5 linked regions of the Macaca fascicularis genome follow. The protein of the gene in region 1 interacts with the protein of each later gene in a pairwise test. Links are inferred from orthologs where the notes say so. Each region holds a gene or a part of one and is shown on either strand. Other genes may lie near its edges.

The links.
Region 2: the proteins of TNS2 (region 1) and OTX1 interact in binary tests that used the Homo sapiens proteins (3 or more experiments, as listed by UniProt). The two-hybrid records come from large-scale screens. The link is inferred for Macaca fascicularis from reciprocal best matches to the Homo sapiens genes TNS2 and OTX1.
Region 3: the proteins of TNS2 (region 1) and SHFL interact in binary tests that used the Homo sapiens proteins (3 or more experiments, as listed by UniProt). The link is inferred for Macaca fascicularis from reciprocal best matches to the Homo sapiens genes TNS2 and SHFL.
Region 4: the proteins of TNS2 (region 1) and KPRP interact in binary tests that used the Homo sapiens proteins (3 or more experiments, as listed by UniProt). The two-hybrid records come from large-scale screens. The link is inferred for Macaca fascicularis from reciprocal best matches to the Homo sapiens genes TNS2 and KPRP.
Region 5: the proteins of TNS2 (region 1) and CRKL interact in a two-hybrid assay, tested with the Homo sapiens proteins (2 studies listed by BioGRID and IntAct). The link is inferred for Macaca fascicularis from reciprocal best matches to the Homo sapiens genes TNS2 and CRKL.

Annotation. Positions count from the first base shown.
Region 1 is NC_088385.1:59,842,214-59,847,575, forward strand, and holds part of TNS2 (tensin-2), read left to right. Parts: coding exon of another isoform or gene 1-32; intron 33-1,191; exon of another isoform or gene 1,192-1,222; intron 1,223-1,624; coding exon 1,625-1,733; intron 1,734-2,224; coding exon 2,225-2,262; intron 2,263-3,159; exon of another isoform or gene 3,160-3,174; coding exon 3,175-3,213; exon of another isoform or gene 3,214-3,338; intron 3,339-3,532; coding exon 3,533-3,571; intron 3,572-3,718; coding exon 3,719-3,768; intron 3,769-4,023; coding exon 4,024-4,195; intron 4,196-5,091; coding exon 5,092-5,142; intron 5,143-5,362. UniProt on the Homo sapiens protein: Tyrosine-protein phosphatase which regulates cell motility, proliferation and muscle-response to insulin. Phosphatase activity is mediated by binding to phosphatidylinositol-3,4,5-triphosphate (PtdIns(3,4,5)P3) via the SH2 domain.
Region 2 is NC_088387.1:58,900,240-58,906,242, reverse strand, and holds the start of OTX1 (homeobox protein OTX1), read left to right. Parts: upstream 1-2,325; 5' UTR 2,326-2,393; intron 2,394-2,747; 5' UTR 2,748-2,816; intron 2,817-4,392; 5' UTR 4,393-4,501; coding exon 4,502-4,598; intron 4,599-5,603; coding exon 5,604-5,755; intron 5,756-6,003. UniProt on the Homo sapiens protein: Probably plays a role in the development of the brain and the sense organs. Can bind to the BCD target sequence (BTS): 5'-TCTAATCCC-3'.
Region 3 is NC_088393.1:10,630,706-10,636,520, reverse strand, and holds the start of SHFL (shiftless antiviral inhibitor of ribosomal frameshifting protein), read right to left. Parts: upstream 3,571-5,815; 5' UTR 3,460-3,570; coding exon 3,439-3,459; intron 2,967-3,438; coding exon 2,843-2,966; intron 2,645-2,842; coding exon 2,595-2,644; intron 2,420-2,594; coding exon of another isoform or gene 2,281-2,419; intron 239-2,280; coding exon 200-238; intron 1-199.
Region 4 is NC_088375.1:108,420,654-108,426,801, reverse strand, and holds KPRP (keratinocyte proline-rich protein), read left to right. Parts: upstream 1-2,731; 5' UTR 2,732-2,760; coding exon 2,761-4,500; 3' UTR 4,501-5,156; downstream 5,157-6,148.
Region 5 is NC_088384.1:31,891,055-31,896,853, reverse strand, and holds the start of CRKL (crk-like protein), read right to left. Parts: upstream 3,924-5,799; 5' UTR 3,398-3,923; coding exon 3,087-3,397; intron 1-3,086. UniProt on the Homo sapiens protein: May mediate the transduction of intracellular signals.

The sequences.
Region 1 (5,362 bases):
GGAGGAGGGACAGCAGCCGGGCCACAAGCAGGGTAGGAGTGCCCACCAGCTGGGCAAAAGAGGGGCAGGGGTGGAGGTGTGGGCAGTGGGGGAGGGGACCTGGAATCAGGCCAGGCCCTCTTCCCAATTTCAGCTTCCTCAGCCTTCTCTCCTGGCCCAGCATCCCCTCCGGAGTGGCCAGGGCTGTAGTGTGAGGGGATGTTTGGGTTAGAGTGGGTACCGCTGTCTGTTTTGGCTCCTCTCACCTTCCCTGCTCTAGCCTGCGTCAACCCTGGGGGTCCTGGCCCCCCAAACCTAAGCCCCAGGTACCTCACTGTAGGACTTTGCCACGCACTATCCAGGTATCCTAGAGCAGACTCAGAGATCATCAGGCCCCTTCCCGGGCCCGGGGAAGTTTGAGGAAAATGGGGTGGCAGGGCAGAAAAGGAGAGAGGAGAGGGAGTCAGGAGTGCTTTCGAACTGGAGGTTTGCTTTCCACTGACAGCATCCATATCTGCTGCTAATGCCTGCATGCTCCCAAGTGTCCTAGTGGGTCCCACAAAGTTGGTCCAGCCCAGAAGTGTTGCAGGGACAGTCAAAAAACCAGAGATGCTGCCCACATCCCCATCACTCCCTTTCCCAACTTCCCAGCCTTGCCCCAAAAGCAGCAGCTCAGGACAACCTGAGAGACTACTGTGATGGGTCCCCAGGATGAGGACAGCAGGAGTCTGAACTCCAGAGGAGGGGGAATATGGGTAAAACAGAGAGGTGGCAAGGAGACAAGCTGTCCCCAGACAGAGGATAGGAGGAGTGAACCCACAGTGGGAGGGGAAGGGACTGAGATAGGCCTGGGCCATAAGGGGGCATCCCAGGCTCCTGCTTCACTGCACCTCTGGATCAGGAGGGGCTGAACAGAGAATCTGGTCCACTCCTTCCTCATTCAGTGTGTGAATGAATCCCAAGTGCCAGGGGGCAGGGGGTCGGGGGAGAGCTCACAGCATCCAAAACCAGCTAAACATCTCTCCCAGTGACAGGCCTCTGTTTCCCTCCAGCATGACCACCCCCCTTATCCAATTGCTGTCTGCTGCCTCAATGCACAATGAGTAAACATGTTGTTCTGACCATGGGGGAGGAGGGCATGTCAGCTGTCTGGAGCGTGGGGACAGCAGGAGCTAAAGGAGCAGGACTGGCTGAGGCCACTCCTGCTGGCTCAGTCTGGTGCTGCAGGACTGACATACAACAGGTATGTCTGGAACCTCCCTGCTCACTCTGCACACAGGTCTCTATGAAGGGAGGACAAGACGGGAAGAGTCAGGGAGTACCCCTACTGCACCAGGGGGAAAGCCTGAGCATGTGGGCTTTCCACAAGGGCATCACATACCAGGGCCACGTGAGGGGCCCAAGTGATCCCCTGGGGAGGAGCTGACCCAGCAAAGGTGACGCAAGGGGTCAGATTCCATACACAGCTGAGGACAGGCCCAATGACCGCCCTGAAGCAGCTGTGGCCAAGTGCGTCCTACAAGTTTGAGGGCTTGATCTGGATGGAGGAAACCAGTGCAGTGCTAAGGCAAGGCTCCTGCCCAGTCCCAGAGATGGAGATGGGCCCACTGGGAACTCACACCTCTGTTTGTCCTTCCACCCTCAGCCTAGGAAAGCTGAGCCTCATAGTTTCCGGGAGAAGGTTTTCCGGAAGAAACCTCCAGTCTGTGCAGTATGTAAGGTGACCATCGATGGGACAGGCGTTTCGTGCAGAGGTGAGGTGCTCTGTCCTGTGACTCTGAGACCCTCCACCCAGTACCACTGTGTTGCACAACTCCAGCAGGCCAACTCACACAATCTCAAATGTAATATGCTGCTCCTGGATTAGGCACAATGGCACCTAAGAGGCGGCTGCCTCCCCCTTCAGATGGCCCTGGCTCCCCATGACAGACACCCCCGACAACCCAGGAGACCCAGTATTCTCCACCATCTTCCCATCCTGACTTGTGACTGTAGTCTTCCTTCCCTCCCTTCCTCCTCACCTCCACCCACCCTGGAACGTTACCCCTGGCCTACGCAATAGTACCCCACTGCCACACTCTTCCCTCAAAACCTAGCCCTGCTCCTCCGCCCTAGCCAGCCCAGTCCAGCTGGGATCCTGGAAGTCCCAGGATCTGGTTCCAGGGTCTGGGAGATGAGGGAAGGCCATTCCTTCCACTGTCCCACAGGCCCCTGCTAACCCCTCTCCTCCCCCTACCTCCCCTAGTCTGCAAGGTGGCGACGCACAGAAAATGTGAAGCAAAGGTGGGTATCTGATTCTACCTGATAGGGGGAGAGGGTCTGGAGTCCCTTCCTCCTCCCAAACAGGCTTCTCCAACCACACTGGCATCAACCCTCCACCTCCACCCCTCTCACCATTGGGGAACCCCTCCTGGGTGGGAGGGGTGCTGACTGGGCCCTTTAAGAACCACCCTACTCCGCCTTCTGGAGGGCTGGCCGGCCCAGGCGGGTGGACAGCGAGACAGCGTTTGTCTTGGTGCTGTGCCCAGGCTGCAGCTGGCGAGAGGATGGGGGTGGGGAAGAGGAGGAGAATGAGGAGGAGGAAGGGTGGGGTGGGTGGGGGGTGGGGGAGCAGGATTTCAGAGACTGGGCAGCCGGATGGGCTGTGCCTTCCCTCTGGGGAAGGGTCCTCAAAATGCCTGGGCGGGCCTTGTCCTGGGCCCTGGAAAAACTGGGCCTTTCCAGAAATAAGCTGTAGATAGCACCCACTGTCCACTGGGCACCCAAGACAGCCCTATCTCTGAGGAGGTTCCCTGGTCTTCCTGCAGGGCAGGGAAGGAGGGTCCCAGGGCCCTGGAGCTGGCTTGGGGGAGCTGTGTGCCCAGGGGCGGGGTCTCCCGGTGAAAGAGGCCAGTGTCCGTCCCTGGCCATGGCCTGCCTGCGTGCTCTATATATAACTCCTGCCCTGCAGCTGGATGAATGGGGGTCTGTGTGGGCTGGGGGCTGAGCGCCAAGAGCAACAAGTGGGGGGCCTGGGGGGTGGGGGACCAAGAGGCCAGAGGGGAGGTGCCCTTAAATAGCACAACCTCAGCTGGAGCCTGTGCCCATCCGCTGAAGGCCCCTCCACCTTCCTCCTGAAGCTGAGGGGCTACCCCATCCTCAAGCCCAGGAGAGCCCTTCACCAGGAGCTCAGTTCCTTACTCGGTCCCCTTCCAGGTGACTTCAGCCTGTCAGGCCTTGCCTCCCGCGGAGTTGGTGAGTGCGCTCTGGGATGGGGTGGGGAAGGCAAGGAACCTGGCCATGGTGTCCAGAGGTCTGGTGGCTCCAGAGAGGGCCCCCAGGAGATGACCTTGAATGTAGTGCTGTGGGTATTGCTCATCCTACAAGGAAAGAAAAAACTGTCTAAGTCCTCTGCTGATCTTGTGCCCTTGGGCCTGCTGGGGATAGAACTCCTCTCCCTTTGTCCAGTACAGCCTTCATCAGGACACTGACATTCCCTTCCACTGTTCCCAGGCCCACAGTGGTCCTTGCCCCTGCTGTAACCACTCCCTTTTCCTCCCCCATCTCCCTCTAGCGGCGAAACACGGCCCCAGTCAGGCGCATAGAGCACCTGGTAAGGTGATGCTGGAGGAGGAGGGGGAAGCAGGTAGCTTTGGGAGTAAGGATCTAGATTTCCTGAAGACAAAAGTGGCTCTGGAGTGGGCAGTCTAGAGTAGGGGGCACCCAAAGAGATGTCCAGACACTGTCTGTTATCCACCAGGGATCCACCAAATCTCTGAACCACTCAAAGCAGCGAAGCACTCTGCCCAGGTAAGTGAGGGTGCTGGGGTGGTCCCACGTGACCCCCTTTCCACCGGCCCCACACCTCAGCCCAGGGCGCTGCCCCTCAACAAAGCTCCCCGGGACAGCCCCCCACCCCCAAAGCGGTATTCTCCCTCCGGACCGACCCACCCACCCTCAGGACCCACCAGGCTTCACCTGCTGCCCAACAGACAGCCTTCCCATCACACTAGCCACCTCCGGGTGCCCTGCCCCTGCGTTCATGCGTAGGCTCCCCCTCCCCAGGAGCTTCAGCCTGGATCCGCTCATGGAGCGGCGCTGGGACTTAGACCTCACCTACGTGACGGAGCGCATCTTGGCCGCCGCCTTCCCCGCGCGGCCCGATGAACAGCGGCACCGGGGCCACCTGCGCGAGCTGGCCCACGTGCTGCAATCCAAGCACCGGGACAAGTACCTGGTGAGGGGCGGGGCCATCAGGAGTCAGCCAATGAGAGGGGCGTGGGGTCCAGATGGGCGAGGCTAATCACTGACGTCACCAGTGGAGGCGAGGCCGCCAGTGGGCGGGACCAGAGGAGTGGGGGTGGGGTGGGGTGGGGGCGGGGGCGGGGGCGGGGGTGGGGTGGGGGCGGGGGTGGGGTGGGGGCGGGGGCGGGGGTGGGGTGGGGGCGAGGGTGGGGCGGGGGCGGGGCCCGCAGTGGCGCCTGGAGCGGAGCGGAGTATCCAGGAGCGCTGGCGACTTGGCTGTGACTGGCTAGGCCGGGCCTTAACTACCTTCTTATTTTCTTTCTTTCTTTACTTTTTTTTTTTTTTTTGGTGACGGGTCTCTCTTTGTTGCCCAGGAGGTGATCCGCCCGCCTCGGTCTTCCAAAGTGCTGGGGTTACAGGCGTGAGCCACTGCGCCAGGCCTGCACTTTGTTTTAGAGGAAGATTCTTTTTTTTTCTTTTTTTTTTTTTTTTTTTTTTTTTTTTTGGTGTTGTTTTGAGGCAGAGTCTGCACTCTGTTGCCCAGGCTGGAGTGCAGTGGCGCGATCTCGGCTCACTGCAAGCTCCACCTCCCGGGTTTGCGCCATTCTCCTGCCTCAGCCTCCCGAGTAGCTGGGACTGCAGGCACCCGCCACTGCGCCCGGCTAATTTTTTGTATTTTAGTAGAGACGGGGTTTCACCGTGTTAGCCAGGATGGTCTCGATCTCCTGACCTCGTGATCCGCCCGCCTCGGCCTCCCAAAGTGCAGGGATTACAGGCGTGAGCCACCGCGCCCGGCCTAGAGGAAGATTCTTAACTTAGGATCCACCTCCACCTCGTGCCTCATTGCCGGAGGTCCCTTCTGTCTAAAGCCCTCCCCCTTTATTTCAGCTCTTCAACCTTTCAGAGAAAAGGCATGACCTGACCCGCTTAAACCCCAAGGTATGAAGGAAATGGCTTGCCCAGTCATTAAACCAAGCCACCCCTACCCCAGAAGCCCCCAGCTTCCTCGTTATTAATAGTAGCGATTGGCATCTACTTCACTCTTAAGCACCTTCCCCCTCTCGCATGACATATTACTGGAGACACCCCAAAACGTGATGCAGCAGGTATCAGCCCATTGTATAGATAAGGAAAGTGCTGAGGTTATCATGGAGAACCA
Region 2 (6,003 bases), on another chromosome or scaffold:
CCTCGCCGCGCGGGACCAGGTCAGGTGCTGAGGCTGCAGGCGAAACAGGGCCTGGTGGAGGGAGGAATGCGTAAGGTGGAGGAATGGGGAAGGGCACCCGCCCCCGCACTGGAGGGCCAACCCCTGCACACAGCGGACTGGCCCGGACTGGGGCAGCGCCGGGCTATGGACGCAGACGCCGACGATGCGCACCCCGGGACGTCCGCATGTTCTTTTCCCCAAAACTAGTGCGCTCTAGCCTGCGCCTTTCCTCGGAACCTAAGGCGAGGGTATATTTCGTTGCTTTCTTTAAACCTCAGCACGATCACAGTGGCTCCGAGCCGCGGGTGGCTGACCGCGGGCCTCGTGGGCTACTCCTGGTAGGGGCCTGCGCGAGCCTAAGGTGTGTGCCCGCCTGGGTTAGCGCTGCGCTCTGCGCTGTTTCTTTTCCTCTTAAAGCTTCTTTCTCACTCACTCTCTCCCTCCTTCTCTCTCTAATTTTTTCCCATTTCTCTCGTTCTTTATTCAGCTTTCTCTCCCTTTTGTGAATGGGCCGCGGTGTCTTTGTTCTGGAGAGAAGCGCCCGTGTCGCTGACTTTTGTGAACCAGAGAAGGATCTTGTAAAACCTCCTTTTCTCCTTCGTACGCCCCAACTCCCACCCCTCCTCCCCTGCCCCTTTGATTAGATGTTCCCTCATCGTCCAAAAAAAAAAAAAAAAAAAATGTAATTTCGTTGGTCTGGCGGCCACTTTCTTTGAACATTAGCTCGCTTTCAGCTCCAACTTCAATTAGAAGGAGTTGATTTTGAGAGATCAACAAAAGAACCGACCAAAGCCTTATTAAAGGTCCTAAGAAGATCTCCCGGGTCCTTTGAGAAGCAGTTAAGGAAACAGTGTGCCCTCCATCATATTCTGTTACCGTATTTTATTCGGACTCCAAAGGAAAGTGTCGCTTGGGGGAGGGGGAAGCACTTTGATGAGCGGCGGCCGCGGCCCCTTTTCACTCAGCGGGCTCCCCCTTCCTTCTCCTCCTCCTCACCCAGCGCCCTGTCTGCTCTCCGCGCCCGACCCCGCAGCCTGGGCAGCACGGGTGCTCCCCACTGCGATGCGCCTGGAGGCTCCTTGACTCGCCCTCACACTTACTCCTGTGCAAACTTTTTACCCCGCCTGTCGGGGTGGGGGAGTGGGGAGATTAGAAACAAGGGGTAGAAATTCCTCGAAAGGGAATAAAGTGCCTAATTTTCAGAAGGAGGTGCCATTTAAAAGATTCTCCTAGCTCAGAGTTGGAACGAAAACTCTTTTTTGCACTTTTAAAAGTCCACCCAGGCAGACGTGTTTGGGAAGTTTGTTCCACTGGGAAATGGGCTTCGCCCGTACGAACAATCCGGGGAAATCGCCTCAAGGAGGCTCCTTACGCAGCATGTGGAAAAAAGTTGAGGGCAGGGGTCTGTGGCCACATTTTCCATCAAAAAGTCCCTGTTAGAGGCAGACTAGGAAAGAGAGAGAAAGAATGAAAAAGAAACTTTCCTATCAAAATGTTTGAATTAAGAAGTAGGGTGTACATGTGAGGGCAAGAGGACGCTGGGCTCCAACGTTTCAGAAGAAGCGCTTAAGGCTTGCAAACACCCTTGGTGGGGACCGGGAACCCCGGGAGATGCCGATGAGCAGGTAAGTGGCTGTGCCCTCCCAGTGGGTGCTCTTCCCAGGCGCGAGAGTCCCGAGGCGCCGAGGAGAGATCTGCACGCCCGGAGCTGCTCCCGCGCTCTGCAAAGTAGCCTGCGCCGGCACGAGCCGCCCGCGGCGTCGGTCTCAGGTGGCGGTGCAGAGGAAGAAAACGCTGGGGCCCGCGGCGCCAGGAGAGGGGCCGAGGCCCGGGCTCCTCCAGCCCGCCGCCCCCGGGTCCTGGCGCCCACACCCGGGCGGCTGAGCCCGGTGGCGCGCAGGAGAGCGAAGGAACCGGTTCTCCAGCACCTCTCCTCGTCTCTGCCACTCCCTCCGGAGCGCCGAGAGCGCGAGAGAAGGGCGGGGGCGCCCAGGGAAGGCCTGGAGACCCGCGGCCCCCTCCGCGGCCAGGACTCGGGCTCTCCGCTCGCCTTCCTCGCCTAGCTCTGAGCCGCTTTTGCCAGCCGAGTCCCGGAGTTAGCGCGCGACCGGGGCGGGGCGGGCGGGAGGGGAGGGCGGGGTGTGGGGGGCGGGGGAGGGCGGGGGCGCGCGGAGGTAACCCCCGGCTCGCGCTGCCATTGCCCGGCTCCCTGTCACTCAGCCCGCGCGGGGCCCCCGATTGGCGGCCTAGCCCCGTTACGCACTCGCCTCGCGTTCACATACCCGGGGAGGGCAGTAGAAAGGTGATCAATCTTCATCAGGCTACATTTCCAATCACCTAAACAACCGAGCAAGACAAGCCACTCCGACAAGGTAAATCGCTTGATTTATTTAGTTTGCAAAGTGACTCTGCAGGACTTCCCAGTCCCCACTGCCTCCACGTTGCACCGGGAGTGCCGCGGTAACGCCGAGCCACCTCCCAACTCTGCCCTCGAATTCCCCCCCTTGCGGCCCCTCGGCGCGATTCCGGGCGAGGCAATGTCCTGCCTGAGAACGTGTGGGGCTTAGCAAACAAAGTGTCTGTGCAATAAAGTGAAACCCAGAGGGACACGCACAAAGCCACTGAAAAAAAAAGATAGAGGTGGGAGGAAGGAAGTTGGGAAAAGAAAGAAACCCGGGGTCCTAGACCAGCCGCCGGGGTAATTCCTGTGCCGCTCTGTTTTGCAGGTTGGCTGCCCGGCGGGTCTCTGTGAGAGATCCAGGTAGATGGTGAACGTCCCCGGCAGCTGAGGGCAGGTAAGGAGAAAGCCGCGGGACCATCCCGGACTCCGGGAGCGCGTTGGTTACCCTTACCTCCCCCTCCTCAAATGGATCCCCACTTCCCCGGTCACCAGCAGGTGGGCGGGGCTGGGGGAGCGGCCTAGCTCCCCTCTTGGTGAGCCGAGGACCCCGGGGCGCTGTCGCGGCCCGCCGCTCCCTCCCCCGCCTCCTCCGAAGTAACCAAGCTGAAGTGCTAAGTTTGGAGAAAGTCTTTGAAAACTCACGCTGCAGCTTCGCAAAGCCGTCGCAGCTTTGAGTCCCATTTTTCTTCGGCCCTAGAGCCCTGGCTGCTTCTCTTCTCGTCCCCTTCCTACAAGCTGGACTCCCTCAGCCCAGGTCTTGGATCCCAGAAGACCGGGGTGGGAACGGGGCAGGGGGGAGCTTCTTTAGCTCTAACTTCTCTCCCTGAACGTCCTAGCCCGAGTCCCTGGCCTGCTTCACAGCGATCCCGCTAAGCGGGGTGTAGCAATGGCCCCCCAGAGCCCCAGGCCCAGTTTCCAGCGCCCCTCCCTGACCCCTGAGAGTGCCGCCCCGGGTTCCCGGCAGCGGCGGGGGCGAGGCTTCCACCTCCCAGCTCGGGTCTGCGTGGGCTATGCCGCTGAGGCCTACTTCTCTGTTCTCGACCGTGTCCTGGGGCCGCGGGTTCAGCTACAAGGATGACAGCACGGGACTTGCTGCCCTCCGGCTTTGCAAATCCCCGAGACCCTTTGAGGTGCTAGGTCAGTCACCCTTCACCCCCTGCTGGGACCCTGTGGTCCGCAGCACAGACTGGACAGAGAAGGCCGGGTGCGCGCTGGCAACGAAGGACGCTGGCCGCAGCTGAGACGCTCCCGACCTCAGGCCGCGTCTTGGGGTCGCCCCCCTCTACAGTGGCCTCTTCGGCGTCCCCTGGCCCTCTGCGAGGCCTGGGCCGGTTACTGCGGTTGAGGTGTGGTGGGATTTCGCGTCAGCGATCTTTCAGTGGCTGGGCACAGAGAGGTCAGCTGGAATGGTGATTGCGGGCTCTGGGGCAGGGGCGCAGCCCTGGAGACCTTTGAAGGAACCAAGTGTCCTAAGTGGACAAGAGGTTGAGGTGCGGTTAGCCCTCCACATTGCCTCACCTTGGCCCTTTGTAGTCTCTACCTTTTCAAAAACACGTGAAACAAAATGAAACAACCCCTCATGCTCCGGGAGGCCTGCCGTCCGGGCACCAAGTGAACGTTTGCTTGTGCAACATGAAGCTGGCTTCTGCCGGATTCAGAATTTTGCCTGGACTTGGGAGCTTGCACACTCCGCGGTTCTTGCTCTGACCTCCCCAGCCTGGCCTGGCTTTGACTTCTCCTTACTCCTATGGACTCCCTACCAGTGTCTTTGGCTCATTCCAACGCTGGAGCCAGACGACCCAGAAAACTTTACTTTTCAAAGCAACTGTGGTTTCTGGGCTAAGGCCTTGTGGATTCCAGTTGACCACCCTGCGCAGTTCTGTAACCTGCCTTCCCTGTCTATCCCGGGGCAAGACTTGGCAGCCAAGTGGCTCCGATTGATGGTTTCCGTGTGTCTCGTGTCTTCATAGGCCAGGCCCCCAGACGCATCAGACCCTGAAGGACTGCGGTGGGAGCCCTGCACCGCTTCTGGCCCCAGGTCCCCTGGATCCGTCGGGGCGCCTCCACCCAGCTGTTAGCATGATGTCTTACCTCAAACAACCCCCATACGGCATGAACGGGCTGGGCCTGGCTGGGCCCGCCATGGACCTCCTGCACCCATCCGTGGGCTATCCGGGTGAGCACCAGCCCTCCCGACCCTGCTTCAGCCTCTCCAATGTTGGGGCCCCCCAGACTGTTGGGTTTGAGTGCAAGCTTTGTTGCCGAGCAGGCCCAGGGAGTCAGCTATTGCAATACAGGGCCCACTGCCTGTTTACAATACAGGGCCCACTGCTGGCGCACGGGGCAGAGTCGTGGGCATGTGAGGTGGCCAGGGCTGAGAAAACGCGCAATGTGCGCCTTCCTGGCCGGGTCACCGGCAACCTTTCTCCTGTTGTGGTCCCACCACCAGCGCAGAGCTCATTTACCTGCGGATTCGCTACCCAGGGGCGGCTAGTGTTTTTCCTTTTCCCCCAACATGGAATGAGTAATCTGGACACTCGTTAGGCCCTGACAGAAAGAGCCAAACTTTCCTTATGCGAAGCGGCAGGCTGGACTGAAGGAGTATTCTTCCTTCCTAATTAAATTGTCCTCTAAATTGATGTCCTGCATCCGTTTTTGCACTGCTGTAGAGGACGACCTGAGCCAAACCCGGGGTTCTTTAGCTCCGGCTCCTTTACCCCATTTATTTTCTCCGAAAGTGTTTTTCAGGTCGTGTTTCTGCCTACCTCTTCCCCACTCCCTGTCCCCTAGCCAGAGAGAGAGAGAGAGAGAGAGAGAGAGAGAGAGATTGTGTGTGTGTGTGTGTGTGTGTGTGTGTGTGTGCGCGCGCGCGCGCGCGCGCAGGGGAGGGGGAATGTGGAAGAAGGGAGATTGTAGACTTCTCTTACTTTTTTTTAACCTCTGAGAGGCATAGAGAGGGGCAGCCCTTGAATCTTGGAGACACTGGCTTCTAGTCGCACATCTGCACTTTCTCCCACCTGTGGCCTCTCAGGCTCGGCCGCCCGAGGGAGTGTCTTTTATTCCCAGTTCGGCTTTCTCTTGCGAAGGCCGAGCTCTGGGCCTGCCAGGGGCCTGCCCGAGTGCTCTATCGCTGGTCCGCGTGGCCACCAATGACCCGCGGCGCCCCCGCGTGTCCCCGCAGCCACTCCACGGAAGCAGCGGCGGGAGCGCACCACCTTCACGCGTTCACAGCTGGACGTGCTCGAGGCGCTCTTCGCCAAGACTCGCTACCCTGACATCTTCATGCGGGAGGAGGTGGCGCTCAAGATCAACCTGCCGGAGTCCAGAGTCCAGGTGCGCACTCCCCGGGCTCCAGGGTCTGGGTAGGGGAGCTGAGACTGCTCGGGGAAGGTCTGGGAAGGCTCTTGAGGAGTTCTTGAAGAGACCGTCCTCTGGGGATGGGCTTACAGACTGGGCAGCCCCTCTCGGACTCCCCCTAGCGCTGGACCCCAGCCAGGAAAGGGGGCAAAAGTTAAAGGAAATGGCTTAGAGCCCTGAATTCCGCCCTTAGCCCTAGAGCGCCTTTCGTATCGGTATCGAAA
Region 3 (5,815 bases), on another chromosome or scaffold:
TGGAATGGGGCAGGTGGGGATGAGGTGGAGGGGGGTCACCCCTTCTGCACCAGCATAAGCATCAGCCCTCCTCTCCCTACAGACAAGTCCTCCTCCTGCCCCAGTGAATATCTCCCCTCCTGCCCTAATGGACATCCTTCCGTGCCTGCAGATGTCGCCCTCCCCACTTCCCCATCTCAAGCCCTAGCCGCCAACTCACCTGAATGTCCCGGTCCTGTTTCATATCTTCTGGTGGATCCTGGGTGGAGATAGCAGGGGCAGAAACTGGGATGGGGCTCAGGCCTCTTTTCCACCTGTTTGCTGTGTTGGGAGGGCCCCGGCCGCAAGGAGAATAGGGTGCCCCTAGCTCGCCAGGAGCTCACAGAGCACTGCCCACATATTGAGAGCCAGGTGTGTGGCCTCAGTTGTCCTCATAGCAGCCCTGAGAGGTGGGCACACCTGTTACCTTATTGCTCAGATGGGGAAACTGAGGCTTAGGGGAGGGCTTGCCTGTGAGGCCAGCCTGACCCCCGTACTCACTTCCTGCCTGCAAATGCCACATGCTTGTTGGTGTTGTGACAATATCGCCCCTTTGAGGCCACGTTGTGCTTGGCTAAGTGGTGGGGATCTGGACTGAGAGATGTGGGTTCGAATCCCAGCTCTATCACTTCCAGCTGTGGGGACTTGGACAAGCCACTCCCTGCCTCCTGGGTTCCCACTGACAGGCATGTTAGAGCCCAGACTCTGACTCCAGGTGGCCAGGGTTCAAATCGCAGCTGCCACCTGCTTGCTTCGTGAACCTAGCAAGTGACTTCATCCTCAGTTTGTCTGTGAAATGGGGATAAATAACAGGACCTGTCTCCTGGGGTCACTGTGGCGATGAAATAAATCAATTCCTGGAGTCTTGCCATATGGGAAATACTAAATGAATGCTACCCTCTGCTATTGTTATTATTATATTTTTGAGATGGAGTTTCACTCTTGTCGCCCAGGCTGGAGTGCAATGGCGTGATCTCGGCTGACTGCAACCTCCACCTCCCAGGTTCAAGTGATTCTTCTGCCTCAGCCTCCCAAGTAGCTGGGATTACAAGCATGCACCACCACGCCCAGTTAATTTTTTGTATTTTTAGTAGAGACGGGGTTTCACTATGTTGGCCAGGCTAATCTCGAGCTCCTGACCTCAAGTGATCTGCCCGCCTCAACCTCCCAAAATGCTGGGATTACAGGCGTGAGCCACCGCACCCGGCCCCTCTGCTATCATTTTTATCATACTTTTATATGTATAAATGTAGACTATGATACATATTTTACTATCCTCTGGGTTTTTTTGTTTTTTGTTTTGTTTTTGAGACGGAGTCTTGCTCTGTTGCCCAGGCTGGAGTGCAGTGGCGCGATCTTGGCTCACTGCAAGCTCTGCCTCCCGGGTTTACGCCATTCTCCTGCCTCAGCCTCCTGAGTAGCTGGGACTACAGGCGCCTGCCACTACGCCTGGCTAATTGTTGTTGTTGTTGTTGTTTTGTATTTTTAGTAGAGATGGGGTTTCACCATGTTAGCCAGGATGGTCTTAATCTCCTGACCTCGTGATCTGCCCGCTTTGGCCTCCCAAAGTGCTGGGATTACAGGCGTGAGCCACCGCGCCTGGCCTTTTTTTTTTTTTTGAGACAGAGTTTCGCTCTTGTTGCCCAGGCTGGAGTGCAATGGCGTGATCTTGGCTCACTGCAACCTCTGCCTTCCAGGTTCAAGCGATTCTCCTGCCTCGGCCTCCCGAGTAGCTGGGATTACAGGCATGCGCCACCATGCCCAGCTAATTTTGTATTTTTTAGTAGAGACAGGTTTCTCCATGTTGGTCAGGCTGGTCTCGAACTCCCGACCTCAGGTGATCCGCCCGCCTCAGCCTCCCAAAGTGTTGGGATCGCAGGCGTGAGCCATGGCGCCAGGCCTATTATACTGTAACAGCCCTACACTGAGCCTTTCAGGCAGGCGAAATCCACAGTGTTCCCATCACCAAAGCTTTCGAAGAAGCAAAGTAGCCATGATGCACCTGTGCTTCAAAGCCATTCATTCATTCATTCATTCATTCATTCATTCATTCATTCATTCAACACAAAGGTTCCCTTCCCCTCCCTCTCTCTCCTCCCCAATCCCCTGCTCATCCCAGCCTTTCTAGAGACTGACACTAACAACCCTTCCCCACCTCCCAGCCTTTGCTCATGCCATTCCCTCCCACACCCTAAGGCCCCTGCCTTTCTTTCCCTTTCCCCTCCCAGGGCTCACTCCTCTCCATCCTTTAAGACTTGGTACCTCCTCCTCCAGGAAGTCTTCTCTGATCTCTGCCCCCCCACGATGGCCATAATCCTGACTCCTTTCATTGCCTAGTTTCATGGCTGTCCGCCTTTGAATACAATCAGCGCATAATGAGCGCCTACTGTTTGCAGGCTCCCTGGCCGGACAAACGATAGAGAGGTGAAAAAGTGATATTGGGTGATGAGTTACAGACCGACAATGCCTGGTCCCTCCTGTTTCAGAGAAGTGTCAGTCACCATGAACCGGTCGGGTCCCCCCTCTTGCTGTCCCTCCCGTGACCCGGTCCTTTGCGAGGGGAGGGGACAGGTTACCTGGGCATCCAGATCGTTACTTAGTTCTTGGCCATCTTTTTGCTTTACCCCTGCGGGGGAGAGTGCGTATAAGAGAAGGGCCCTTGAAGGGTCTGTGGGAGTTCCAGGCCACCCAGAGCCGCGATGCAGAGCCTCCCCGAGGCTGGGACCTCCGGGGGAGGTGATCTCAACGCCTCTCCCTAGACCACGCCCCCTCGGCGCTCCCACGCGCGGTCTCCGCACCAGGCCCGGGACCCCAGCAGCCTCACCGTACACGATGGAGCGCCCAACTCCTGTGTGGTCGCTGCCGAATTTCCTCATCAGAGCCCCCGCCTTCTTGGAGGATACCTTCCCATGAAACTTCTCCCGGAGGCGCCGGACGCTCTTCTCCAGCTGGGATGGGGACAGGGGGGTTCCGGTGGGCGAAGGGGAAGCGCGATCGTCCCTCCCCCATCTCTAGGCACCGTTCTCCCGGCCTGAACTTGACCCTTGGTTTTGGCCTCCGCCGCCCCCCCTTTCATCCCTCTACGGCATTTCCTGGAAAAAGCCAAAGTCCCCACATGGCGCTGGGGGAGGGCGCGGACTGAGGCGAGCGTCCCAGCCTAAGGTGGGGGGGCGGCCAGGTTATCTCTGGCCTCTGACCTTTGACCCTGCAGCCCCCGCTTTTCCTCGGAGAGGCCTCATTTCGCTCTGGGGAAACGTGGGAGTCACTTTCCTTTTCAAGGGGGGTGAGCGCCAGGCAGGGGTAAAGATCTGGGGTTCTAGGATGGGGGTCCCCAGGAACTGCGAAGCCCCCTCCGCGCCTCTCGGCCGCTCCTCGGAGTCTGTCGCGTCTGCCCCCGGCCCAGCCGTAGCCATCTCTTACCTCCACACCTTCCTGAGACATGGTGGCGGCGGCGCAGGTCCCCGCGAGGGTCCGCACTGCGCGGTTCAGCCGCCCCCCTACCTGGGCGCGCCCGTCGGTCCAGCAGCCGCGCAGGGCAGGGGGCGGTGCCTCGGGGCCGGCTCCGCCCTTCCTCCCCAGCCCCTGTTTCGCTTTCGATTCAGGGGGGACCGGGCGCGCTGGCTCCGCCCTGGCTCCGCCTCTGCTCTTGCGCCCCAAACCCAGGCGGTCGCCCCGGGTCTGCACCCTGCGGCGGAGCGCGCAGACCTCGGGCGGGGGAGGCGGCGCGGCCTCTGCAGTCGGTCACATGTCCCCACGCTGCGCGGGGTCCGCGTCTTCACGTCCCTCGTGGGGGCGGGGCCGCATCGGAAGGCCGCGGCGAGGCCCCGCGCCCCCCCACCCAGCGCGCGCTCCCCCAGTTCATCACCCTCCTCTCTGTCCTCCCTCCTTCCCCGGGAATCTGGCGCTCATGAGGACCTGGGCGCTTTTCCTGCCCTGAGTCTCTGTCCTAGCTAGGGTCACCTCTCTGAACCTCAGTTTACCCCTCTGTGAAATGGGGAGGATCCTGGTGTCTACACCATGGAGTGGAGTATATGCCAAGATTCCCGAGTGGATCGCGTAATAGCGCCTGGCTTGCAGTAGGCACTCAACTAGTCACTGGGCCACCTGCTGTGTGCCCTTGATAGGGGCAGGCAGTGTGTGTGTGGTTGTGGGGAGCGGTGCTTGAGAAAAACACAGATTCTTGGTCTCTCGTTGCCCGGTAGAATCCGGCTGTCTCAGGGATCCAGGGAATCTGCAATGGTTAAGAACCCCGTGGGCTGGACAGTTCTAACCCAGTACAGGGCGCATCAGGGAGCCGTTAGGTGGTGGGGCTCTGGCCCAGCCTGGGGACACAGAGATGGCTACTTCATTGGAGGAGGGGATGCTTTGTACAGTCACTGAAATTGGAGGTCTTAGCTCGGGGACGAATAGAGTGGGGAGTTGAGGCAGCCGTGCAGAGCCCCCAAAACAAGACTAAGTCTGGGGCTTTCGGGCAAGGGCTTCTCAAGCCCAGCACTCTTGACACTTTGGGCTGCCTGGTTCTTTGTGTGGGGGACTGTTCTGTGTGTTGGGGGACATTTAACAGCATCCCTGGCCACTGCCTGCTAGATGCCAGTGGCTCCTCACTCTCCCTGTTGTGACTACAAAAAATGTCTCCAGAGACTGCCAGATACTCTCTGAGGGGCAAAATAGCATTGTGTTCAACGACTCTAAATTTTTTTCTCCATTGCACACCTCTATAGGTAAAACTGTTAAAATTACACCCCCAGATGGATATTTATTTATTTATTTATCTTTTGAGACAAGGTTTTGCTCTGTTGCCCAGGCTGGAATGCAGTGGTTTGAATACGGCTCACTGCAGCCTCGAACTCCTGGACTCAAACAATCCTCCTACCTCAGCCTCCTAAGTATCTGGGATTACTGGCATATGCCACTATGCCTGGTTAATTTTCAATTTTTTTTTTTTTTTTTTTTTTTTTTTTTTTTTTGTAGAGACGGGGTCTCACTATGTTGCACAGGCTGGTCTCAAACTCCTGGCCTCAAAGATGGATTTTTTAAAAAAATTTATTTATTTGTATTTATTTATTTATTTATTTTTTGAGAAGAGTCTCCCCCTGTGGCCCAGGAATGCAGTGGTGCCATCTCGTCTCACTACAACCTCTGCCTCCCAGGTTCAATCGATTCTGCTGCCCCAGCCTCCCAAGTAGCTGGGATTACAGGTGCACGCCACTACGCCTAGCTAACTTTTGTATTTTAGGTAGAGACGGGGTTTCACTATGTTGGTCAGGCTGGTCTCGAACTCTTGACCTTGTGATCCGCCCGCCTCTGCCTCCCAAAGTGCTGGGATTACAGGTGTGAGCCACTGAGCCCAGCCAGGATATTATTTAAATTATATACAAATACAATTATATCAATATATTCTGTAAATTGTTACATAACAGTATCTTTATTACAGAAATATATATTCTTTTTTTTTTTTTTTTTTTGAGACGGAGTCTCACATTGTTGCCTGGCTGGAGTGCAATGGTATGATCTTGGCTCACTGCAACCTCTGCCTCCCAGGTTCAAGTGATTCTCCTGCCTTTGCCTCCCAAGTAGCTGGGATTACAGGTGCCCGCCACCATCACTGACTAATTTTTTGTATTTTTAGTAGACACGGTGTTTCACTATGTTGGCCACTACATGTGGTCTGGAACCCGTGACCTCATGATCCTCCCGCTTTGGCCTTCCAAAGTGCTGGGATTACAGGCATGAGCCACTGTACCCAGCCAAAATATATGTTCTTTAGGAAACAAAAAATTGTAATCTCAGCTACTTG
Region 4 (6,148 bases), on another chromosome or scaffold:
GACCTTAACCCCCACCCCTACCAGAGAGGGCATTAATCTAGTCATAAGGGATCCTCCTCCATAACCCAAACATCTCCTGTTAGGCTCCACCTCCAACACTAGGGGTCAAATTTCAGCATAAGGTTTGGAAGGGATAAACACCCAAACTATAGCAATGCCCTATCTAAGGTGGGCAGCTGCTAATCAGGATGATGGAAGGTAGGTTCAACTGTGCTAGATCTCTTCATTTTAGAAGAAAATCTGAATTTCTGGAATCTTAAATCTCCCTATTTTTAAATACTAATGATTAATGACAGTATTATGAGGGAAAACATAAAGAGCTGTCCATTTTGACTCTATGTGAGTCACAGAGTGCCAGATTATTATTTCTGCCCTGCACTGTACTGCCTTTAAGGGTTACTCCACAGTATACTACCTGCCTGGTGCTGCCTTCAAATACTGCTCTGCAGCATGGCTGAGCACCTGCTGTGCAGCCATCCACTTGCTCAGCTCAGGATGGGGAGGGAGCAGACACCCAAGACTCAGCAGTGCCTGTAGCTTATGGCCAGCATTTACCCTGAGTGTATTTGGGATATTTTAAACATCATTCTTGGATAGGTTTTTAAAAATATAATAATTGCCTTAATCCTCACAACAATCAGAAACAAGATTTAATTATCTCTGTTTTGCAGAAGAGTAATTTGATACTCAGGTTGGTTATAAAGGTTGCATAGCTATAACTACATGGCCTGGGATGTTAGACTCACCTCTGACCCCATGGGCTCATCCTTCTATAGAGTTGCCTCTATCTTTGAAGTAACTTAAATTACTTCAAGTTAGAAAACATTTCCTCTTTTTTATCACTCTGGTAAGAATCTGAAGCAAAGTGGAAGTTGGCAGATACAATCATCTTTTAGGAGAGAAGATACCTTTGCCACTCCTCATCTCCTGACCATCAGGTCTTCTAGGGATGGAGAAGAAACTGTTAGGGTAATGAAGGAGGAAGAAAACAAGAATCTGCTCTTCATAGTCCTGAGACTTCAACACTAAGACAAGACACTCCCATACTCTGTAGGTGACGGCAAGGGCAGGTACACAGGGAGGGAACCGGCTGCTGGAATGCCAGCCTGGGTGATGCGCCAGGCAGATGCCAACCAGCTGTCTCATGGCCCAAGCCAGACCCAGAACCCTTTATATAAAGACAGCCCTCTTCCCAGATGCCTCAGCCTGAGCGACTGCTTGCCTGTGAGGAGGGTGAGTCCAGGAACTGGATCCTGGGATAGGGGTGGGTGTGATGTTCGAGGGAGCCCAGGTTCACAGTAGTGAGGCACAAAGAAGGGAGAAGCTAGGAGCCGGGGAGGGCAAGGAGTGCATCAACCTGAGGAGAAAAGTCTGGTGAGCTTTTAGGAGACAGAAGCATAGCTATGGAGTTTATGAGATGAGCTAGGGCTGTGACTTCAGTGTGTTTGCCTTTGATAACCCTGACCTTATCCTCAGGTACCATTTCCCCTCATAATCTTTCTGGAAAAGGCACATTAGCAATTTACACCTTATGAGCAAAGTTGTGTGTGGAAGGGTTACCTTCCCCAGGGAAATAGATATGTAGGTATTCTCTATAAATTGAAAATGGAAGGTTTGAACCCTCATCAGGAGCATTTGAGGAGCTTATTGAAAGGCGTTTTGTTGGATGAGCCTGCTGTCAAATGATCTTGTTTTGCTGGTCAGTGGGCTGCCTGCAAATCCACATAAACATGTGGATCTGGGACAAGCAGTGGAGTGAGGCTGCCCTGTGCTCTCCCCGGCTAAGCGTGGTGTCAGGGTATATGCCTGCAGCCCTCAAGTCAGGTCTGCAATGCCCCAGTTGCATAGATGATTAAGTATGGCAGAATGTCCGTCTTCTGATTAAGAACCTTGGACTTTCTGGCTTACTCCATCTTGGGTAACTCCACCTTGCCTCTAAGAGGAGCTGGGGAAAAACATTTCTGAGGCCTGCAGGCTGTCACACTTCAGGTGATTAACAACAGCAACCTGATTGGGCGAGTTGCCATGGTGGTCAGAGTCTTTCCAAGGCTGGTGTGTTTTGCATGGGAAAGCTTTGCACGTGTCATGTTTAAATGAATTTATTACAAAACATTGTGTCATGTTTAAATGACTTTATTTCAGAACATTGTGTCATGTTTAAATGAATTTATCTAAAAACATTGAATATAAAGAAACAAACATTTAATGTTGGGTTTGAGCTGCCCACTTTCCAGTGAATGCTTTGACATTATGTGAATGCAGATGGTGTCGAGTGCTTATTCTCATATGTACATTTTTACATATTTGCACATGTATGTATACTGCCAGTGCACATGTATGAGTAAATCCTAGCTCCTGTGGGAGTGGAGTTTCCACTTTGGGCTACAGCCTTAGGAGCATGTTTTATCTCTACTTCCTGTAGGGCTGCTCAGACCACATTGGATGTGAGAAAGTGTGGAGACAAAAAGAGAATCCTTTTGTCATCAGTGCCCTCTTGTTCTGGGCATTGGTAGATCCTGGACACCTGCAACCCTGGATGTGCACAATCAAGCCCTTTGACAGACTCAGGGCAGGTTTAACAGATTAATCCTGGGTCCAACTAAGTCAGGACACTTGGGTGAAGGTTGAGGGTGGAGGAGGAAAAGCTAGGGAAAATGAAGGGTGTCTTCCTCTAGGTCCCAGCCCTCCCTCTCCAACTTTCATCTTCTTGACCCTGGTCTCTCTGCCCTCAGGTCACGCTCGACTGGCTGCATCAGAACCATGTGTGACCAGCAGCAGATCCAGTGCTGCCTGCCGCTCCAACAGTGCTGCGTCAAGGGTCCCTCCTTCTACTCTTCTCACTCCCCCTTTGCCCAGAGCCAAGTGGTGGTTCAAGCCCCTTGTGAGATGCAAATTGTGGAGTGCCCTGCACCATGCCCAGTTCAAGTTTGCCAGGTGACAGACCAGACTCCATGCCAGTCTCAGACCACACAGGTGAAGTGCCAGTCTAAGACCAACCAGGTGAAAGGCCAGGCTCCATGTCAGTCTAAGACCACCCAGGTGAAGGGCCAGGCTGCATCCCAATCTCAAACTTCCTCTGTTCAAAGCCAGGCTCCATGCCAATCTGAGGTGTCCTACGTGCAGTGCGAAGCCTCACAGCCTGTTCAGACTTGCTTCGTAGAATGTGCTCCAGTTTGTTATACAGAAACTTGTTATGTAGAATGCCCAGTCCAGAACTATGTACCCTGTCCAGCTCCTCAGCCTGTCCAGATGTATAGAGGGCGTCCTGCAGTGTGCCAGACTCAGGGAAGGTTCTCCACCCAGTGCCAGTATCAAGGCTCCTACAGCAGTTGTGGCCCCCAGTTTCAGTCAAGGGCTGCCTACAACAGCTACACCCCCCAGTTCCAGTCGAGGCCTTCCTACAGCAGCTGTGTCCCTCAGTATCGGTCCCGGGCTTCTTTTAGCCCCTGTGTGCCCCAATGCCAGACCCAGGGCTCCTATGGGAGCTTCACTGAACAGCACCGCTCTCGGAGCACCAGCCGATGCCTTCCTCCTCCTCGGCGGCTGCAGCTTTTTCCCCGCAGCTGTTCCCCCCCAAGACGTTTTGAGCCCTGCTCCAGCAGCTACCTGCCATTAAGACCCTCTGAAGGTTTTCCTAACTACTGCACCCCACCCCGCCGTTCTGAACCCATCTATAACAGTCGCTGTCCTCGACAACCCATTTCAAGTTGCTCTCAGAGACGTGGCCCCAAGTGCCGAATCGAGATTTCCTCCCCGTGCTGCCCCAGGCAGGTTCCCCCACAGAGGTGTCCTGTTGAGATTCCTCCCATCAGACGCCGCTCCCGGAGCTGTGGCCCGCAGCCCTCCTGGGGCACCTCCTGCCCCGAGCTGAGGCCACACGTAGAGCCACGTCCGCTCCCAAGCTTCTGTCCACCACGGCGTCTTGACCAGCGTCCAGAGTCACCACTGCAGCGATGTCCACCTCCTGCTCCACTTCCACGTCTGCTCCCAGAACCATGCATAAGTCCAGAACCACGCCCGCGTCCTCTACCACGACAACGTTCAGAACCTTGTTTGTATCCGGAACCACTTCCAGCACCACGTCCAACACCGCGGCCAGTTCCCCGTCCTCGCCCAGCGCAGTGTGAGATTCCAGAGCCACGTCCACACCTGCAGCCCTGTGAGCACCCAGAGCCTCGTCCACGGCCAGAGCCAATTCCCCTGCCAGCCCCCTGCCCAAGCCCAGAGCCCTGCAGGCAGCCTTGGCGCAGCCCCAGTCCGTGCTGGGGCCTAAATCCAGTTCCATACTCAGGAGACATAGGCTGTCATGAGTCTAGTCCACACCGCCTAGACACCGAAGCTCCCTACTGTGGCCCATCCAGTTATAACCAGGGGCAAAAGAGTGGTGCTGGCTGTGGGCCTGGTGATGTGTTTCCAGAGAGGAGGGGTCAGGATGGCCATGGAGACCAAGGCAATGCCTATGCTGGAGTGAAAGGGGAAGCAAAGAGTGCTTATTTTTAAAGGAAAGGTGACTGACACAACCCTGTCTCCTGCCTCTGAAAATGTTGTTCCTCCTGTTCCACAATTTCCAGTGCACTCTTGTTTGAATCTCTCCAGAGATATTCAGAGACTCCCTATTACAAAGGTGATGTCCAGACTCCTTTGTCTATCATCCAAAGATTCACACCTGGGTTTCAGATGCCTCTCCAGCCTCACGTGTCACTCCTCGCCTGTACACATCCTCAGCTCTAGCCAGACCAGTCTGGCCATCGGGCACAGCTTGGGTGTTTCCTGGGCCATACCTTAGATGACCCTGCCTCCAAGCCTCTGCTCACTCTTCCCCCCTCTTCCTGGACCACTTCTCTTCTCCTCCCCAGCTTCTGAAATCCAACCCATCTTTCACTGCATCCTCCGCACTACTTGGTAACTGCCTGGTGATATCTCTTGAATTGTTATTTCACTTTGCAGGCATATCTTTCTTATCTGCCCAACTAGGTTCTAAACTCCCAACTGAGTGGAGTCAGAGAATCTCTAAATCTCAGTGTCTATCCTGGGGCTGGCTGCTGCTTAGCAAGGCTTGTGGGTTGGTAACTTGAACCATGTTCTGTCCTGATGCTCAACTGTAGGAACTGAGGTGAGAGGAGGCCACGTGACAATAAAGATCATCATGTACTCACTGCCTGAGTCCTGAGTCATTCCTGCTTTTATTTCTTGACTTGCTGAGATGAGGTTTTTATTGTTGCTATTTTAAATTGTGATAATAAAACACATGTAACATGAAATTTACCATCTTCACCATATTTAAGCATTCAGTTCAATGGCATTAAGTACATTCACATTGTTTTGCTACCAGCACCACCATCTGTCCACAGAACTCATCTTGCTGAATTAAATCTTCATCCATTAAATAATAACTCCTCATTCCTTGCTCCTTCTAGCCCCTAGCAACCACCATTTCTGTCTCTATCAATTTGATGATTCTAGGTAGCTCATATAAGTAGAAAAACAGTATTTGTCCTTTTATGACTGGCTTACTCCACTTAGCATAATGTTCTCAAGGTTTATCCAAGTTGTAGCATGTGCCATAATCTCCTTCCTCTTCAAGGCTGACTAATATTCCATTGCAGGTACATACTATATTTTGTTTATTTGTTCATCAGTGGATGGATGGGCACTTAGGTTGCTTTCACCATTTTTCTTGTAGTAAATAGTATTGCAATGAACATGGGTATACAAATACTTCTGTGAATCCCAGATTTCAATTATTATGGATAGATATCTGGAAGTGGGATCACTGGATCGTAAGGCAATTTTATTTTTAATTTTCTGAGGAACTGCTATACTATCTTTCATAGTGACTACATTATTTTACATTCCCACCAACAGGGTACAAGTCCTAATTTCTCCACATCCTTGTCAACATTTGCTATTTTCTGTTTGTTCTCTTGTTTTGGTAATAGCCATCTTGATGGATATGACATAGTATGAATTTTCATTTTAATTTATTACCTTTCTTTTTTAGTTTATTGTACCCACGGTGTGAGCTTTTTAAGCCTACACCAAGTGGGTTGTCTTGCGGGTTTTCAATCTTCCCTCAGTTTCCTTGGCCCCAGATGGAAAGGACGAAGAAAAAGGCAAGGGGATGAGGAAACAGGGAGAATAACTCTGC
Region 5 (5,799 bases), on another chromosome or scaffold:
ATTCTCTTATAAACATTTGAACAAAAATATAAAATTAAAAATTATGAAACGTTCCAATAAAAAGGATAAGACTATAACAATGCAAGCCACCAGTCCTTAAATTTCGAGTAGGACATTATTGTTACAAATTTTAGCTATGCAAGATAAACCAAAATATTAGCCAAGAGGTATTAAATTCTGGCTTTAAAAGCTCAGTTTTGATGCCTGAAAAGTTAAGCCACTAAATTTATCCTGTTTGGGATGTGAAGAAGCATTACACTGAGTTTTCCGTTTGGCAAGGCTCTAGTAGTCACTAGCTTTCTATAAAAGGCTAATAACATGTTAGGGCTAAGCCATGAAAACCAGGCTTGGGAGTGGCAATTCGAAGATTCAGTATAACAAAGTAAATTCAGTCAGTATCTAATTCAACCAGCATGGTGATCTCCTTCAGAGATACCTAGGAAAATGAAAAACTAAATTAAAGCAACAGGCCTGAGGCAGAGGGCACAGAGAAGGAGAAACAAAGCTGAACGTGTGGGGGAGGGTCAGAGAAAGGCCCTATCATCTGTGAAGGGACTGGAACAACAGGTAGGATTTCAACAGATGGAGAGCGAGGTGTAGTTAAGGCAGTCAATGAAGAGCCAACAGCTGGAGCAAAGGTGCAAAGGTACAAAGGTATGAGTAAGGAAGGATGGCTACCAGGGAATAAGTGAGCAGCCTAGTAGAGCTGCAGTAAAGGAAGGACGAGAGGAGGCAAAAACAGAATTACATGCTTGTTCTCTAAGAAGACACATGCATGTATGGAAAATTTGGAGGCGATTCTGTGGATAGACAGAAGCAGCATACTTCTTTTCCTCCCTCTAGAAAGAGATTCAAGCCATTAACTCACTTTTTTTCTTTCTTTTTTCTTTTTTTTTTTTTTTTTTTTGAGACAGAGCCTCACTCTGTCGCCGGGCTGTGCAGTGGCGCGATGTCGGCTCACTGCAACCTCCGCCTCCCGTGTTCAAGCAATTCTCCTACCTCAGCCTCCCCAGGAGCTGGGATAACAGATGCCCGCCACTACGCCCAGCAAATATTTTGTATTTGTAGTAGAGACGGGGTTTCACCATGTTGGTCAGGCTGGTCTCGAACTCCTGACCTCGTGATTTGCCTGGCTCGGCTTCCCAAAATGCTGGGATTACTGGCGTGAGCTACCACACCCCGCCATTAACTCGCTTTTTGAAACAGCTGTATTATTAGTATTCATCACCTCAACGTAAGTACATGCATGGCTTAATGAATGCCTGGTATTAATTATATAATTCACTCTCACAAACGAGATGAATAATTTATTCAATCATACTACAAATCTCACTACAGTGGGTTCTAAGATTCTCAACCCCTTAAATTGGAATTATATTGTGCTCAAAGTTGACTGCAACTACCAGCATCTGCCAGGAACCGCATGTTTCACCAATCAGATTCTTGGTGTCCTGGTCTTTGTTATACAGTATTTGATTTATAATCACTTTCTGCCCACTTTTAAAGTCCATTTAGTTCAGTAGTTAATCTTAAAGTCATTATACTATCATGGCTTCTTTTTCTATCTCTATCTCACTATGCAAACAGTTCGTGTCCTTAATTATAATAGCTTTTAATGTTTAAAGTTTAGAGTAATACCCGGTCGACAAATCCATAAAGTCATAAACATTTAACCCTGGAAAAACTGCATCAACACCCAATCCTTTTAAAACAGATGTTTAAGAAATGAACTGGCCAGTTTGTTACTTTAAAAATTCTAGGCAACTTTTCAACTCAAATTTGGGATAATTTAAATAAAAGAAACCTCTGATAAAATCAAAGTGTTACAGGGCAAACACAACAATAAAAACAAATCTTTGTTAAAATGCTTAAGGCAAATTAAAGCAACTAATCAATTAAAATAATGTATTTCACTTGGAAAAGAGACTACTTGGTCACTTTGCATTAATTTAAAAATAAGAGATACTAAGTCATTAGACTTAACACAAAAAGCACGTCTGAAATTGAACTAGGATACAACTCAGTGTAATTCAAAAATTTTCCTTAATAACATTTTAGCCTAATTCCACCTTGGAAATTAATCAGACTAATCTCTGGCCTACTAATGGTCCTTGGGGAGAAAATATTAAATACATTTTCCAAAAATATCCTCGCTGAAGCCAATGCACCTTATCTTTGTGATTAACGTACTATAAAAGTGGTGGTGTCTGGCCTGCTTCAAACTTGGCACCACAGTATCAAATATATAGTTTTGATATTTTGGTTTCATTTTGTCGACTGTTACAAAGGCTGCAGTCCTGGAGTTAACCTGGAGTTCAGAGATTTGGAGGGAGTACAAGAACCTGGGATAGTGTGCAAACTTGTGTGTACGTGCCTTTGGCGAGGAGGGGTGGGGCTTGGGTGGTGAGTGCTCGGCTATCTCCAGATTCTCAAAGAAGTCTATGGCTAAAAACGGTTTTTGGCCGGGTGCGGTGGCTCATGCCTGTAATCCCAGCATTTTGGGAGACCAAGGCAGGGGGATCATGAGGTCAAGAGATCGGGACCATCCCGGCCAAAATGGTGAAACACCGTCTCTACTAAAAATACAAAAATTAGCTGGGCGTGGTGGCGTGAGCCTGTAGTCCCAGCTACTCGGGAGGCTGAGGCAGGAGAATAGCTTGAACCTGGGAGGCCCTCGGAGGTGGCATTGAGCCGGGATCGCACCACTGCACTTCAGCCTGGCGACTCCGTCTCAAAAAAAAGGTTTTTAGGAAAACCAGCAAATCCCTGCATCAGTATTACACCCAGAGAAAGTCACGAAAGGCAAAAAGCGTGCATTTTATGCCACCCCCGTTAAACATTTAAAACGCATCCTCCTGACATTGAGAAACAGCCTCATGAGGAAAACACAAAAAACAAAAACGCATCCTCTTATCCAGTGACCTAGATCCTGACACTAGCTTTCCATTAGGAAGGCCTTCTGGAAAATAATTTGGTTCAGAATGGGGGGAATATGGGTTCAAGCGCGCCCCACCTCCCTACACAAACACCCTTCGACCGACCCGGTTATCGACCTTCCTCCGCGGTCGGGGCGGGCTCTCGCGTACCTGGGCGCGGGTTCGATGAGAGTGGTGGTGTCCAGGTAGTGGATCTTGTAAAACTCCAACAGGGCCGGCAAATGGTCAAACTCCTGGTCCCCGATCTTAAAACGGCGGTTGGGCAGCGAGTTGATGATGTAGTGGGAGACCCGCGAGTTCTCGGACACCGACAGCACATAGTCCCCAGGGCAGGTGGAAGAATCGCGGACGAGGAACATACCGTGGCGCTGGCCCTGGAGCCGGGTCTGCGCCTCCTGGCGAGACACCGGCCCCATGTACCAGGCGGAGCGGTCCGAGGAGTCGAACCTGGCAGAGGACATGGTGTCGGGCCGGGGACTCTGCGGCGGTAGGGGCGGCGGCTGTCCTCGCCTGCTCTGCACGCCTTAGCCCGGCAGACGGCTTTGGGGCCGAGGAAGGGCCTCTCGCACACCTCGAGGAGCGCTCAGAGGGCTGGGCCAGCACTTTCCTCTCGGCTCCAGGCCCGCAGCATCCTCCAACGTCGCCCGCCTGCTCCGGGGCCGCCTCACGGAGAGCCGCCCGGGAATGCAGGGCAGAGCCGGGGGGTCAGGGCACGCAAAGCCGAGCCGCAGCTGAGGCCACCCCGGGGTTCTCGGGCTGCTCGGCGTCCCAGGGGTGCCTCCAGTGACTCCCGGCCTGGAACGCGCCGGCGTCGCAGCTCCACGGGTCTTCACCGACCCCCGCCGTCACACGAGGCACCGAACTCGAAGGAGCGTCGCGCCTCCGGGGTGGTTTTGCCCAGCTCGTTCCCAATAGCTACAGCAACAAAATGGCGGACGCGGGAGAAGCGGCAGCCACCTCCCCCTGCGCTCAGCGCGCTCCGTCTGCGCACGCGCGGAGCCCCGGCTCCCGGCGGCCGCCGGGGCCCTTCCGTGGCGTCACACAATGCTGCCAATGAGGAGCACCGTCACGACGATCTGGGTGGGCGCTGGTCGCGCCCGCTCCCGCGTTCCGGGAGGAGGCTGAAGAGGCGCCGGCGGTAGGCACTCTCTTCCTGGGCCGCTGCGCGCCGCTGGGGGCGCTGCGGCTGCCGGGTCTCCCAGCGCTGGCAGGAAAACAGCTGGAGCCGAGAGGGAGCGGCGTGTCGAAAACCTGCTTCTGGGAACAAAGCGTAACGTGCAGGCCGAATCGCGGGCCAGGGAGGCGTGGCACTGAGGCGACCTGGCCAGCCTAGGGGCCTGAGGGAGCTCAAGAAGTGACAGGTCACGATGGGCCGAGGTGGCCCAGTAAAGGGATGACCCCAGGGGCAGATGTGACTACCAGATAGGTGACTGAATGACTCAGTCCCCAGGTGGCTTGATAGGCTAAGGAAGCCCTAGTGGCTACGTGACCCGCTAAATGGAGAGAGAGGAGAGAGAAGGTGGGGGTTAGATTGACTCAATTAAGTAGTCAAGGCAGGCCACAATTGGGTAACCTGGCCATCCAGGGCTTTGAACTGTTGAAGGTAAAATGCAAACGCCTCTCGGGCGTGGCCCGGAGGCTTCGCCTGCCCTGGATTATGCCTGCTTCTCCCTATTTATTAATCCCTATTTGTTTTTGTTGTTTTCTATTTTTATTTATTTATTTATTTATTTATTTATTTTGAGACGGAGTCTCGCTCTATCCACAGGTTGGAGTGCAGGGGCGCGATCTCGGCTCACTGCAACCTCCGCCTGCCGGGTTCAGGCGATTCTCCTGCCTCAGCCTCCCGAGTAGCTGGGATTACAGCCATCCGCAGCCATGCCCTGCTAATTTTTGTATTTTTAGTAGAGACGGGGTTTCACCATGTTGGCCAGGCTGGTCTCAAACTCCTGACCTCAGGTGATCTGCTTGCCTCAGCTTCCCAAAGTGCTAGGATTACAGGCGTGAGCCACCGTGCCCGGCCTGTTTGTTTTATTTTGTTTTTGAGACAGGTTCTCCTTCTGTCACCCAGGTTGGAGTGCAGTGGAACTATCATGGCTCACTGCAGCCTTGATTTCTGCATCTCAAGGGATCCTCCCACCTCAGCCTTCCGAGTAGCTGGGACTACAGGCTCACGCTGCCATGCCCAGTTAATTTTTTTTTATTTTTAATAGAGACGAAATCTCACTATGTTGCCCAGGCTCGTCTCAGACTCCTGAGCTCAAACAATCCTCCCCCTCAGCCAAGATGTGAGGCGCCCGGCCCAGCTATGTATGAAATAAGCTAATATATGCAAAGTGCTTAGAATAGTACCTGGCACATAAGCATCATATGAGTCTTCCATTATTATTATTCACTCGTTCCCTGGGCCTGTACCTTTATAGCCTAAAACCCTGAGCATACCCTCGGTGGGTGAGGGAGGAGAGAAAAATCTCCACTTCGTTTTCTAACTGCTTTTCACTGTCAGATTTACCATTTAATAATCACCTGCTCCTTGCCCAGCGTTTTTTCTGTTTTTTTGTTTTGTTTTGTGACCGACTCTCGCTCTGTAGCCCAGGCTGGAGGAGTGTAGTGGCGCAATCTCGGCTCAGTGCAACCTCTGCCTCCTGGGTCCAGGTTCAAGCAATTCTCCTGCCTCAGCCTGCCGGGTAGGTGGGATTACAGGCACGCACTACCATGCGCAGCTAATTTTTATATTTTTGGTAGAGACAGGGTTTCACCATGTTGACCAGGCTGGTCTTGAACTCCTGATGTCATTATCCACCCACCTCAGCCTCCCAAAGTGCTGGGATTACAGGCGTGAGCCACTACCTGTAATCCCAGT